Linked DNA regions of Drosophila melanogaster. The protein of the gene in region 2 purifies or fractionates together with the protein of the main gene of each other region. This does not show direct contact. Each region holds a gene or a part of one and is shown on either strand. Other genes may lie near its edges.

What was found.
Region 1: the proteins of Strip (region 2) and Tbcd purify together in Drosophila melanogaster (affinity purification with western blotting, with the first as the bait; one study listed by BioGRID). This does not show direct contact.

What each region holds. Positions count from the first base shown.
Region 1 is NT_033779.5:2,145,493-2,149,623, forward strand, and holds the start of Tbcd (Tubulin-binding cofactor D), read left to right. Parts: upstream 1-2,025; 5' UTR 2,026-2,154; coding exon 2,155-3,097; intron 3,098-3,154; coding exon 3,155-4,131. Other genes in the region: CG11723 (uncharacterized protein), read right to left, coding at 408-1,321, 1,394-1,532.
Region 2 is NT_037436.4:3,326,941-3,330,540, reverse strand, and holds the start of Strip (striatin interacting protein), read left to right. Parts: upstream 1-1,669; 5' UTR 1,670-1,671; coding exon 1,672-1,842; intron 1,843-1,914; exon of another isoform or gene 1,915-2,098; coding exon of another isoform or gene 2,099-2,290; intron 2,291-2,357; coding exon of another isoform or gene 2,358-2,681; intron 2,682-2,987; coding exon of another isoform or gene 2,988-3,188; exon of another isoform or gene 3,189-3,198; intron 3,199-3,600. Other genes in the region: CG14961 (uncharacterized protein), read right to left, coding at 1-399; Gtpx (glutathione peroxidase homolog with thioredoxin peroxidase activity), read right to left, coding at 2,099-2,290, 2,358-2,681, 2,988-3,188.

The DNA.
Region 1 (4,131 bases), on a different chromosome or scaffold from region 2:
TTTTAAATCGTATGCACATATTTATTACGTGTCTATTCGAAAACAGAATCTTAAATCAATTCAAATCCATTAAAATTCCTTCCAGATGACATCCCAATGATAAGCTAAACCTTAAAATTTAATCAGCATCAGCTGTTATTTTGTTTGTATATTCCATTTCGTGTAAATTGCTTTAAAACAGCCCGCGAATGGCATACCCGGAGTCAAAATGGTTAAATTATTGGACAATACAAATCAATATTTTACAAGCAATTCAGCGTGTGGATAATGGTCTTATGATAGGCATTTTGCCAAACAACTACTCATGTATGAGTAGGGTTTCATCTAAGACTTGTAACAATATGAAAGGAATACTCCTTAGAGAATTATTGGTGAATGTAAAATCGTAAAAATTTGGTATGAAGTCTTCATAGCAGAGGCTCATTCTCTATCTTGACATCGCACTCAACCATGGAGCTGTCGACATAGTCAAACGAAGTTGGTGTTTTTCGGCTACTGATTTGGTAGCTGGAATTGGATAGATGGTACTGGGATTTCTCCAGCTGAGTGGCAAAACTGGAATTCGGGGCTGGTGTTAGTTTGGGCATGCTGCGCTCTAGAACGTCTTCGGGTCCCGCCGCCGCGAGCATGTGCTGATCCTCCTCCCTGAGTTCCACCAGAACGCGCGCCATCTCCATTCGAAACTTAAGATTGCTAATGGCTGACAGAGACTTTACGTGCGGCATCATGCTCATCAAGAAACTCAAGTCCGAATCGTTCTTTAGATCGGGTTCAGTGGTAGACTTTGACGCCTGGCTGGCGTATCCATTCAATAAGGGGACATCGTTAGACGGCGAAGTTTTCCTCCGACGTCCTCTCTTCGAAGGCGGGGGTGGACGTGGCAGGAATTGTTGGTGGCGCGGCAAGTGTATGGGCAATGTGGGCGATAGATCCTGATCGGAACGATGGGCGCCCGAGGATGAAGAATCCAAAGGCTTGATCAGCGAGCCTTTATCCGAGCCAGAGTCCTGGGGCACTGACGGCTCCCGCTTAAATATGTCCTCGATGATTTCAAAGTCAACAGAGTCATCATTGTCCAAATCCAAATCGATAGCGAAGTCAACCAGTCGGGTGGGCTCGAAGACTTCCGGCTGCTCGGTGTTCATCACGAAGGGCTCTGGTGGAAAGGGCACCAGGCCCTCCGGATCGAAGATTTGGCGCATGAACTCCAGTGAGCGAAAGTATGGCCAGTGGGACATCTCGATTCGTTTCTGCTGTATCTTGCGCACCTCTGCCCGGTAGCTGTCCCGCATTCCCTTGAAACGTTTCTTGCAGATCGAGACTGCAAAATGACCAGGTGTTATTTATAGGTTTCCTAGGCATATAAAACCCTCCTCGTTTATCCGCCACTCACCATCCTGCTGCATTATCTGCGCGACACTCGCCCACTGGAGAGCTGCGTCCTGGTTGCGGTACGAAATGGACATGTTTGTGTCCCACAGGCACCGCCGCTTGGACACCTCCTGTATGAGACGGTAGTTATCTGATTTCATGGCGCAGTGGACCAGAAATTGCGGTTTGTCCACAAATGCAATGCTCCGAAACTTGCGGATCCCGAATTTTCAACGCAATTTTCACAGCAATGACCGCGCTCACAGCAAACTCGACGAATGTGTGAGCGGTTTCGACCCGACGGTAACACTTTTAATATCCCAAATTCGGGCTTGCTTTGCTGCGTTTTGGTGGAATATACAAAATCTTGCTCTTGCTAAATCTCGCAGTTTCGCTTGCCACTACAAATAAATGATTAATTGCGCCTGGCAGCTCTGGTCGAACAGCTGCTTAACGGTATTACCAGGTGCATGCAAAACGGCCACACCAAAGGCACTATGACACTAGATGAACTTATTTAGTAGGATTTATTACAAACGTTTAAAGAGCACAATGTACAATAACTGCATTTGATTCCAAAAAAAAATGTTAGTTTAAAGATAAAGAATTAGATAAAGACCCTTTTGGTCGAAAAACAGTAAGAAAGAGACGAGTCAGTTCGTGGTGTCATACCAGCATACTTTCATTGGGGTTGCAACCCTGGCAGTAAAACAAATGATTCACAAACGAATTGATTTTGTTGCCGGCTGTGGGTTTAAAACTCGATAAAATCGTCAAGCAGCCATGTCGAATTCTGTGGAAGAGTGCAAGGATGAGGACCTGCCGGCAAACACGCTGGAGCACTTCACCGAACTGCAGCAGGTGCTGGAGATGATCGACAACATCAAATCCATTGCCGCTAACACCTTCGAAAGGGAGTTCGAGCAGTACGCCCAGGTTTTGTCTAGATATCAGGAGCAGCCACACCTCTTGGATCCACATTTGGAGGAGTTACTCGGCAAACTGCTCCACAAGATTCGGAAGCCAGATCTAGACACTGGAGAGCTTCATGCAGCCTTCAAGTATCTCTACATCATCTGCAAAGTGCGCACCTATAAGGTCCTGGTAAAGTTTATGCCACACGAACTGAGCGATCTGGAGTTTGTTCTGGATTTGCTGGGTCAGCAAAATCCCAAGGAGTTCGAACAGTGGGAAACGCGCTATATACTGCTCCTGTGGATGTCTATCCTGGTCCTAAATCCCTTTCACATGTCGAGACTAGATGCCTATGACACCTCCACATCTGCTCCCACCACCAATTGCAGTCCCGTGAACCATGTTCAGTCGAAGAACACCAAGATGGATCGCATCTTCGAGCTCATCCAGCTTTATGTGTCCTCCAACGACACATGCAGCAGCATGGCTGCTTTCCTGGCCGCCAAGTATTTCATTCGCAGTGACATCAAGGATCTATATCTGGAGCGCTTCCTGGACTGGATTATGGAGCAGCACCAAGCGGACACGTTGAACGTCAAGTTCGGCCAACTGGCTGCAGTGGCTGCTATTTTAAAGCACGGAAAGCGAGAAGATCTTCTGCCCTATGCGGACAAACTTCTTCAGTGGATCACTTCCTGTCAGTACAAGGATGACAACGACTTTCTCAAGTACAAGAACTATGTAAAAATCATCCAGAGAATTGGATTGGTTCATTTGAAGCCACGCATTGCCAGCTGGCGGTATAAAAGAGGTAAGCCTGGGGTTTGTTATTCACGCATGAAACCATAATAAACTAGTGTTTTCTTAGGCACTCGTTCACTGGCCACCAATCTAAACCAGACAACTGCGGCAGGAGGTGAACCAGTTGTTTTGGAGCAATCCCTGGAGGAAGGCGAGGAAATAGTGGTCCCCGATGCCATAGAAGAGGTGATTGAGGAGCTGCTCCAGGCACTGCGAAGCGGAGGAAACGATATACGCTGGAGCGCCGCCAAAGGATTAGGCAGAGTCACCAATCGCCTTCCCAAGGAGCTGGCCGATGAGGTTATAGGGTCTGTGATTGATATACTCAACCCGCTGGAACCCCACGAGGCCTGGCATGGTGCATGCCTGGCTTTGGCAGAACTGGCAAAAAGGGGATTGCTGCTGCCACATCGATTGGAGGAGCTAGTACCCCTCCTTATGCAGGCGCTCTTCTACGACGAGATGAAGGGCTACATGTCGGTGGGGCAACACATCCGAGATTCAGCCTGCTACATGTGCTGGGCATTTGCCAGGGCTTACAATCCGGATGATGTGAAGCCATTTGTGCACAAAATCTCATCTGGCCTGCTGACCGTTGCAGTGTTCGACCGCGAGGTGAACTGCAGGCGGGCTGCCTCGGCAGCTTTTCAGGAAAGTGTGGGACGCCTGGGCAACTTTCCCTTCGGAATCGAAATCTCCACCACGACGGACTTCTATTCCGTGGGCATCAGGCAGAATTCCTATCTAAACATCAGTGACTACATTGCACAGTTTGAGGTGTACAGGGAACCATTGATTAACCATCTAGTTCAGCATAAGGTAAGCCATTGGGATTCGGCTATAAGGGAGCTGACAGCCAAAGCCCTGCACAAACTATCCCTTTGGGAGCCCGAGTACATGGCCGCTGTGGTGCTGCCGCAACTGCTGGCAAAAACTGACACCATCGATATTAACTGCCGGCATGGTTGTGTCTTAGCCATGGGAGAAATAACACTGACCCTACGGAAACTAGAGGAAAAGAGTGATCCCCAAGTGGTTTACCTC
Region 2 (3,600 bases):
CTGCTGGTGGATGGAGGGGCGTCGGCTGTGATTCCGGCGACGGGGCAGTCGTCCGTTCTTGGACATAGGTGACTGACCCTGAGCTGGCGGCTGCAATCCCAATCCCTGGCGAGGAGACAGCTGCTGGGGCTGCTGTTGCTGCTGGGTTTGAGACACCTGTTGCTGCTGTTGTTGCTGGGACTGGGATAGCACCTGCTGCTGTCGCTCCTGGATGCGTTGAAACTGCTGATCCTCATCCCTCTGAGGACCCGCCCTCAGCTCGGCCGGAGCCATACCATCGACGTACTTCACATCCGCCGGATTTGTGGCCGGTTGCTGTGCAATCGAGATGTTGACATGGGTGGCCGCATCCACCTGGCTGCAGGCCACCAGCAGGAGCACCAGCACTCCTCGGAACATCCTGTTCTAATCCTGTTACCAATCCGAAGTCAAAAATCCTAGCTGTGTGTCCAATCACTGCTGACCACCACCAAAGCTGACCGCTGTCTGATCGATAGTGGAGTGTGCTCCGCATATTTATACGGATTTTGGGTGGATTCGGAATCAAAATTGGGGGAGCGATCGCATTCGCAATCGCGATCGCGATCAGTGTCAAAGTCAACTGCAGCACTGGGAATAGCAATGCATACACACTATGGCGACAATAGCTTCGATAGCTTCGCTACTGACCTGGGCCAAACTGTTTAGGGATGAGTCTCAGATGCTTAACCTAGTTCTACAATTAAAGGCATTCGAGCGATCGCATTTGAGCGATGATGCATTCAACAAATTGCTGTCATCGCTTCACACTTGTGTGGCACGCACCAGCACTGAGAGAAAAGGGGCCTAAGTTCGTTCATATATCACAGATATATCATTTAATATGCGATTTTATTAAAATAATTTCTTGGGAAAATTTGGGAAAAGTTCTTTCGGGTAAAAGAAGCTAATCCAATAGAGATCTTTAATTTCGCTCCAGCTCATCAGTTTGGTTTTTCTCCGCCTGATCTCCACTGCGAATTTCGATGGCATCCGTAAATGGTGAGTGCAGCATTTTCATGTAATTGTCGGAAGGTCGGAGTCGCCGCTCCATTGGCAGCTGGTTTGAACTTGAAATCCGGCCGAGACGTTGAACTGCTCCACTGGAGGAGGAGCAGCTCGAGATCGGCGCCCCAATGGGCTGACGGATTCGCATTTGTTGGTTTTGGGGGTGCTGGTCAGGCAAACTTGCGCAATCGAAGTTTGGCGAGCATTTGGCGAACACTCGGAGCACTCGAATTCGGAAAGAAGGTAAAGGTTAATGTGAAGTACTTTTGCTTCTTTCTGCACTTAAAGTAACCACCAATAAGGTCAAATTGGTAAGGGGGAATATTTTAAAACAGATATTGCCTACTCACAGAAAAAGTAACTTTTCTTTCAAAAATATCTAAAGGATATTAAAGCAAACTTGTTTTGAATATCATTATAGAGAAAGGCAAATATGGGTTTTAAAATCTAAAACTCAGACTAATTGATCAAGGTCCTTTCAAAGATTAATTAGTTTTAAAACAATGCGAGCTTTCGTGGTCATTAAGTTGAACAAGTTTTCAAAAATTGTGCTCTACCGTTGAAAACATCATACCTTTCTTTTGTGAATTTCGTTTTTCCCTTAATATGACATCTCCAAATTTCACAGTCACCTAACAAATATATATGGCTTGGAAACAGAAAAATAAACTCCTTTTTGACACTTGTAAAAACCAGTTAAGCTGTGGCGCCGTAAACGCCAGATCCTCGATGATGCAGTCCATCCAGTCTAGGATCAACGTGCTTAACACCATTGCTGCTTCCAGCAAGCGGATTGAACGCGCCAGCGTTGACACGGTAAGTCCGAATTGATACAGTTCCAACTACCGATCAAAGTACGTGCCCGGCGTCGCCAAACACCCAGGTGATAGTGTGGTAACCACGAATGGCGTTTATTATGTTTGCGGGTGGGAATCAAAACCAGTAAGGAGTAGACAATATATATACCATGCGGTGCATGTGGCCGGCCACAAGACTATCTGTGGCCAGACGGTTACAAGCTAAAGCTACGCGAAAACACAGTCCAAAAGAGCAGCTAACGTCTAGGGCACATCTACAGCAGCTTTTCAATGTCCTTGGCGATGTCCATGGGATCGGTGGTCGGGGCATATCGGTTGATGGGCACGCCCTCCTTGTTCACCAGAAACTTGGTGAAGTTCCACTTGATTCCGCTGCCCAGGGTGCCGGTCTGCTTGGCCTTTAGGTATTTGTACAGCGGCGCCGCATTGTCTCCATTCACATCGACCTGCGGGGGTGGGGCAAGTTTAGTGACTCGGTCTACAGCAATCGGCTAGCAGCTTTAATAGTCTTACCTTGGCGAACACCTCGCCGATGTCAGCCTTGGAGTCGCGCAGGTGGCACACCATGGCCTCTCCATCGGCCTCCGGCATCTGGGACCCAAACTGATTGCACGGGAAGTTGAGGATCACCAGGCCGCGCTCGCCGTACTTCTCCTTTAGATCCGTCAGCTTCTCGTAGTTGTTCTTGGTCAGGCCGCACTTGGAGGCGATGTTCACCACCAGGACCACCTTGCCCTTGTACTTTTCCAGGGAAACATCGTTGCCATGGGTATCCTTCACGGTGAACTCGTAGATCGAGGCGGCGTTCTTGTAATCTCCGTTAGCAGACATGTCGATCTGGAAGCAATAGAAAGTGGGAGTTAGAATTGGGTAATTACTAGTGGCTGTGAAGGCTTGGGTCGATGTTTTGATCAAGAGATATAGATATTTATAGCCTTATCTTCAATCGGGGTATGAAACACTATATTCTGTATCAAAATCGACCCAGGCTACGCGGTTCATTGCAGTGAACAGGCAACAGAGAACAGAGAACAGAGAACACAGGCAGTGGCAAAGGCTACAACGTTTAGTTAGGCGCAGAATCAAGCAACTGAGTTAGTCAACGGGTTAGGATCTAGTCAACTAGCAATCAGCACTACTCACGGCAGCTGCTGTGGAGTGCTGGGCGGCTGAGGAGATGGCGTTCATGGGCGTGGCCGCACAGCTCACGGGAAGCATGATGGTGCAGAGGCGAAGGCACTGCCTCTGACCGCGACTCAGCTCGAGGACGGGGCCAGGGGTCCGCCTCATCGAGTAGCACCTGAGGGCCTGGCGGGAAATGTTCTGAAACTGCCTGAGACTCATTCTTTAAATGCTGCAAATAATAACCGGGCAGAATGTTCAAATTTAGTGAAAGCTTAGGCAAGTGAAGGAATTACTGGTGTGGATGTGTACGTTGTGTATCAGATCGAACAACAATCGTTTCAAAACAATTCAAATGGGAAAATATAAAAATCAAGTCCACATTTCTACTGATTAACGAAATAGTTAAGTAGATAAGAGCAAGTAGTAAGTAAAGTAGTAAGATAGCTCAAAGCTATCTTATTTCCGAATAAGAAAGTGTGGAAATGTATGTGGTGTATAGATTGTATTCGACAACCCGACGACAAACATCCAAGATTATTTCACGTTTTGATAATGGGTTTCCTAATAGTTGTATGTTGTTTCATAGACATTTACGAGGGTGCTATCAGGCTTCTGGTTACAGTGACGCTGC